2 linked regions of the Mus musculus genome follow. The protein of the gene in region 2 binds, or shares a complex with, the protein of the main gene of each other region. Links are inferred from orthologs where the notes say so. Each region holds a gene or a part of one and is shown on either strand. Other genes may lie near its edges.

The links.
Region 1: Tert (region 2) and Nop10 share a complex: the UniProt entries of both Homo sapiens proteins name them as parts of the telomerase holoenzyme complex. The link is inferred for Mus musculus from reciprocal best matches to the Homo sapiens genes TERT and NOP10.

Annotation. Positions count from the first base shown.
Region 1 is NC_000068.7:112,260,742-112,263,556, reverse strand, and holds Nop10 (H/ACA ribonucleoprotein complex subunit 3), read right to left. Parts: upstream 1,632-2,815; 5' UTR 1,534-1,631; coding exon 1,480-1,533; intron 1,245-1,479; coding exon 1,104-1,244; 3' UTR 659-1,103; downstream 1-658. UniProt on the Homo sapiens protein: Required for ribosome biogenesis and telomere maintenance. Part of the H/ACA small nucleolar ribonucleoprotein (H/ACA snoRNP) complex, which catalyzes pseudouridylation of rRNA.
Region 2 is NC_000079.6:73,633,270-73,637,091, reverse strand, and holds part of Tert (telomerase reverse transcriptase), read right to left. Parts: intron 2,941-3,822; coding exon 2,745-2,940; intron 1,673-2,744; coding exon 1,492-1,672; intron 736-1,491; coding exon 556-735; intron 1-555. UniProt on the Homo sapiens protein: Telomerase is a ribonucleoprotein enzyme essential for the replication of chromosome termini in most eukaryotes. Active in progenitor and cancer cells. Inactive, or very low activity, in normal somatic cells.

The sequences.
Region 1 (2,815 bases), on a different chromosome or scaffold from region 2:
CTAGCTCACTCTGACAGCTCTTCCTCTTGCCCCCAAACACATAATCAAGCTCCCTAAAGCCATGTGTATCCAGGGGATTGTCTAAGTCATTGCTAGAGTCACACGTTTCCTTTTCTCCATGGTGACTAGTACTACCTCCAGGTTGAAGTCTTTATTTTGGTATGCACAGCTCGTGGCATAGAAGTAATGCTAACAATGCTAATGTTTTATTTTTGCAATCGAAGGACAGAATTAATTGTATCCAATACTGAAAAAAACCAAGAAGACATATCTCCTACCAGACAGATTTCACTGGCTTGGTAAAGAAACATCCACAGGCTGGCGCACACCTTTAAGATAGTGTTCAAAGGCAGAGGCAGTTAGACCTGAGGTCCAGGGCAGCCAGCTCTACATAGAGACTCTGTCTAAAGAGAGAAAAAGAAAACTTCCAGGGTTGGGCATACTTGTTATCTCAGAACTCAAAATGTAGTGGTAGGACTGGAGAGAGGGGTGCTTCCCAGAGGACCTGTGTCTATCCCCTGCAGTCACAGAAAGACTAGCTATCAGTCTCTAGTCACCAGGGATCTGACTCCCTCTTCTGGTCTTGATGGTTACTGGCACATATAGGCATAGACACATGTCGGTAAAATACTAAAACACACATACATTTTTTTTTACTCTTTGAGGAATTCAGAATATTTTTTAAAGGGCCCACAATTAGACAGTAGTTTTCCAGGGAATGCTGACCTTTGTAGGAGTCTTTCACAGCCTTTTTCCCCCCAACACCCTATCGTCGATGGCACACAGTTCTATTGCTACAATGAGGGCTTACGAATGTTCTCAAGTGGCCTTGTACTACCAACGGTACTACCCTTCCCCCATCTCTTCCTCCAACAACACACAAAATGAACTTTCAGTTCACTATATCTTTAATAACCTGGCATGAAAAAAAGAAAGAAAAATATTGTTCCTTTTACAGGCGAGGCCCATCAGTATAGACTCATTCACGTGGTGAGTGAGATAGGATTCCAAACAGCATGGGAAGGCTTCAAGGCTTACAGATTGACGCGTTTGGTTGCTGATAATAGGCCGAGGCATGAGCAGCGTAAAAGATTAACGAGCCCTCAGAGGACAGGACGCGGTTGCTGGGTCATGAGCACCTTGAAGCGTTTCTTGATGGTGATTCGGTGTCTTGAATATTTGTCATCTGGGGAGAACCGAGCAGGATGGGCGGAGCAAGTCTGTTGTCCCATAGGGTCAAATTTCTGCTCAAGGAAAAATAAAAAATATCTCAATATGAGTGGTGTGATAGAAAGAAACAAGAAAATGGGTGACCTGAGGCCAGGAGATCGCGTGGTCAGAAAAAGAAGCCACTGCCTATCTACCACGTTTTGGCTCCGACATGGCTCCACTCAGTGGGCTGCGCAGGCCGGTTCCAACTGTTCCTCCCATCTAAATTTCTCGTCCTTTTGATATATAGCTGTTTCCTCCTCCCCTTACCTTCAGCGTATAAACGCGATCGCCCTGCTCGTTGAGGTAATATTGGAGAAACATAACTGCCCTCAGCAAAAAGACACACGTACTACCGCCAGCCGCGTTTACTCCGAGTGCGCCGCTTCAATCGCGTGCGCCAACAACCTTCCAGATTGGACGGAAGTCTCTCCAAGGCATCCTGGGAAATGTAGTCCATTTCTCCAGTCATATCCATGTGACCAGAAGGGGGCATAGTAGAGCAAGTCTTGCTTGGCCTTGGGTTCCAGCTAGCAGCAACCTTGCAAAGTTATTAAGATCCATGGAACTGCCCACTGTGTGCCAGCCACTTGCCAGGGATTAGGAAGTAGGGATGGATGTGGGTTGAATGTTGATGCATCATTCACTGTTGATATCAGTCCTATCTTTAATTTCAAATTGCACACCCATTTCAGAGGCACCACTTTTCGAATTCCTGGAGAAACAAGGACTCAAGGATTCTCAACCTCCTATATCCTAGGGAAGAAGTTAAGATTTTTTTTTTTGAACCCTACTTTTTACATCCGGTTTCCCGCCCAATTTCAGAGTATTGGCGGCAAAGAGTGCATGATGGGTATTCGATATTATGCAAAGCGAACAGAACGGAAAGGTTTTCTTGTGAACCGGTGGATTTTGTTTTAGGGATCGAACCAAGATTCAAACTCGGGACCTGACCACAAGTTCAGCTCTTTCTTATATGGTGAGTAGCAGATAATAGCAAGTAAGGTACGCCTTCTCGGGGTATTTCCAGTTTTTAAAAGACTGAAAAGTCTCATAAGATTCTAGTTTAAGGTGGCGCACGCCTTTAATCCCAGCACTCGGGAGGCGGAGGCAGGAGGATTTCTGAGTTCGAGGCCAGCCTGGTCTACAGAGTGAGTTCCAGGACAGCCAGGGCTATACAGAGAAACCCTGTCTCAAAAAGAAAAAAAAAAAAAAAAAGAATTAAAAACTAAAACCAAGATATTGCAAAATGATCATTGCAGCACTACTTATAGTGGCAAAAATATAGTAGCATACTAAACTTGTAGCCAGAAAAATCGTAAAGTTTTTTTTTTTTTTTTTAAGTAGTGACTATAGACAGTTCGACTGCCGTTTTCATGAGATACATTAAAAAAACCCGGGAGCTTAACCCGTGCTTGTAACCCCAGAAGTCCAGAGGCTGAAACGGAAGGATTTCTAACATCCTAGGTCCAAGGCCTACCTGGACAGTATTCTAAACAGTGAAACCCTTTTTTAAACCGAGAAACAAACAAACAAAAGCGTGGTGGGTGGGTGGATGTGTTCGCGAGTGTTCGTGTTTTTGTGTGGGGGGGGTGTGGGGGGGCGT
Region 2 (3,822 bases):
AGAGATGCAGGAGGATACTCCACGCTTCTCCACTCCACTACCGCACATTCCCATCCCACGTTCCAGACAAAAGACCCTGGGGCATGGTGGGCCTATAGTCCTCTCGCTATCCCATTGCCCCAGATTGAGTACCCTAGGACAAGGAAAGCCTTGAAGACCCTCGAGGCCTACAAGGGCCCCTGGCTAACCCAGATGCTGAAGCATCCAGGCCCTGGTGGTAGAGTCAGGCTTTACTTCTCTGAAGAGGACCCAGAATCCAAAGGGTCTCGCACAGAGCGGAGACCAGAGAGGTTGGAATGTACTGTCAAGGGAACCCATATAGAGCTCAAGACTGTCCTGGGAGCTAGTTATCAACCCCTCCCCCACCATGGGGTCTTTCTGATCTTGAGAGAACTGGGGGCCATAATATTTTTGGCCTGTATAGGGTAGCAGGCTAACACTCCCAATCACCAACAAGAGGCTGCAACAGGGTCACCCAGCATTGCTTATTTCAAGGAGGTCCCTAGAGCCCAGACCATGAGAGCAAATGTGATAGACAGGAGTCCAAATGACCACCTTAACAAAGTACATCCTGGGTGTCTGGTCCAGAGCACGCACACGCAGCACAAAGGCCCGCCAGGTCCTGTAGATGTCATTCATACCCAGTACAGAAGACCCCATAAGGTGAGGATGTTTTGTCCGCTCATAGTTGAGCATGCTGAAGAGAGTCTTGAGACGCTGGGTGAAATGCTGGGCCTGTGCCAGGGCCATAGAGGACACATTAGAAAGGGACCTGGCAGACTGTTCCCTGACCACCCCGATTTCTCAGAATAGACTCCTATAGCTCAGCCAGAGCTCCTCTAGAGCCAGAGTCTTAGAGGATCTATCTCACTAAGTCAATTGACTGTATGTGGGGCCTTCATCCAACCTGCCTCAACCTGTTCTCATCCTCTTCCAGGGGTAGTGCCTTCTAGAACATGCCCACTGGGCTAGAGTCAGGAGATACTCTAGATGCAGGAGGATACTCCACGCTTCTCCACTCCACTACCGCACATTCCCATCCCACGTTCCAGACAAAAGACCCTGGGGCATGGTGGGCCTATAGTCCTCTCGCTATCCCATTGCCCCAGATTGAGTACCCTAGGACAAGGAAAGCCTTGAAGACCCTCGAGGCCTACAAGGGCCCCTGGCTAACCCAGATGCTGAAGCATCCAGGCCCTGGTGGTAGAGTCAGGTTACTTTGCCCCCCCCCCTGGTTACTTTGCCCCCCCCCCCCCAGCATAGAGGCCATATAGTGCCGACCCTACCTGGCAGGGTCCCTGAGGGATCTCCAGGGTTTGTGTCCCAAGCTCTCTGGGTCTTGGGACCATCTCCCATCTCTAAGCCCTTTCCACATGCTGGGTTTTTAGACTTAGGAACAACAGGTTACTTAGCCTCCCTCAGAACTTCATGAGCCCTTACTTAAGTCAGAGTATAGACTCAACCATCAGTACAGGGGCCAAGTCCGGTCACCTGCTTCCTTCTGCCCAAAGCTCTGGTACCCATGCTATAACTCATGTTCACAATGGGCCGCAGGCCGTTGGGCTTGGGGATGAAGCGCAGTCTGCAGATGGGCATGGCTAGCCAGGTGTCCTGGTGATGCCTGACCTCCTCTTGTGACAGCTCCCGTAGCCGCACTCTCTCAAGGTGTTGCCTGTTACGGAGCGCACCGTGGAGTTATGACAGGAGCATGCAGGGAGTTCATGAGACATGTCCCATCAGGGTGGTTGGGAACTTGGAGCACTTGACACCCGACCATGCTATGGGGCTACATCTAGGACCAGAACAACCCACACAACCCACACACCCCATAGACCTGTCTGGACAGGGTTCATGACACGAAGCCTGGGTCGGCACCTGGGACATCTGGTCCCGTAGTCTGTCCTTGGTGTTTCCTTCTTGGGGGTCCCATTGGCCAGGATATTTTTGAAGCAATCCGCTGACTCTTATGGATATCTTGGCTTAGACACAGGTATGAAAGCAAAAAGTGTCCCTGCCTGCCCTCAGGAAGCCCTGTGCTGGTTGCTAAGGATCCCATAAGCACAATGGGTGGGTGATATATGATCCATAGCTAAGGCTGGACCTCAAGAAAGCTAACATGGAGCTGGGTGGTGGTGGCGCACACTTTTAATCCCAGCACCCAGGAGGCAGAGGCAGGTGGCTCTCTGTGAGTTTGAAGCCAGCCTGGTCTAGGGAACTAGTTTCAGGACAGCCAGGACCACACAAAGAAACCCTGTCTTGAAAAATAAAAACAAAACAAAACAAACAAACAAACAAAAATAGAAAGTTAACATGGTAGTCTGCTCTTTGCAGGCCTTGCCTAGCTGCTCCACTGCCCTCTCAGCTTGGCCTTCTGCTGAGACAACAAAACTCTAGCTCAATCAGCACAGAACCTCAGCCACTCAGAGCCCTGCCACTTCTCAGGGTGGACCCTTGTGGTTTCCCAGTGAGGAGACACTTCCTTTCCTTCAGGGGTAGACATGAGGTGGAATCCATCAGTTCCGCTCCCGTTTGATAAAAAAGCTCTCCTACCTTAAGGATCTTATAGATGGTACAGATCCAATTTATGATTTCACAGGCAATAAAGCAGGGACTCCATTCCATGGCTACAGGGAATCTATGCCCTCAAGGTCCATGCCCAGGCTAGCAGGTGCCACACACTGTGCACCGGTGCCTCTGCGTATGCACACAGGAGACACTGATACCTGAGGGATGCTGTGTGGTACCTGACTCCAATGCTCTGCAGCTTGCTCCACACACTCTTACGGTAGAAGAAGAGCCTGTTCTTCTGGAATGTGCTCTCTGTGATGTAAAAGAATGACCTAAGCAGCTGTACCACGTATGTGTCCATCAGCCAGAACAGGAACGTAGCCAGGATCCTCTCCCTCAGACGGTGCTCTGCAGCGGGGACACGGTCCTTCCCTGAAAGTAGTAGATACTCAACATTCCGTGACTCACCTCAGATCCACAATGTCTAGCATGGAAGCCATAGGTCCCCAAATTAATAAGCTAGTTTAACCTTTGTGTGTGTGCTTTCTTTATGCTGTAAACTAAAGTTCCCTGACAAAGCCATGTCTGGATCCTGCAGGCCGACTGACTACAGATGAAATGCTGCTGACTGACAGGGAAATGTTCTTGAGGCATCCTTCATCCCCCAGTAGCAGCCTCTCACTACCAACCTCTGTATCTGATGTAGCTCCACTGTGACGAACCGGTGATCCTTGTAGGCTAGATTGACTTAGCAAACCCTAGCTTCTATCAGCTCTAAATCAAATTATATCTTCAGATAGGGGATAAGGACATGGCTCAGTTGGTAAAGTGCTTGCTGGAGGGGCATGAAAACCGAGTTCAGTTGTCAGAACCCATGTTTTAAAAGCCAGGAGTGGTGACATGTGCCTGCAGTTCCAATACTATGGAGGCAAAGACAGATGAACTCTAACTGAATCAGCAAGCTCCAGGGGATTAAAGAAGACACGGAGTGTCAACCTCAGACCTCCGCACACATACACAGGCAAACCTCAGTGGCGGCTGGTACTATACTACCGGGTCACTGACTACACACACTCATTGCTACTGAGCAGTGCAGTTCAGAGATGTCTAGAACAAAGTAGAGAACAGGCTGCTCCTACTGCCATGCTGGACATGTGAGTTCCGTGCACCATAACAGCTGTATACACTCTGTGTATCTCCAGATACCACAGGGGCCTCTTTATCTAGGGAAAGGTGGGGTTACCAGAAGTGATGAATATGATGGGAACTTGGGAAGGAGAAGGGGGATCCCAGGAGGACGTACGTACAAGTCAG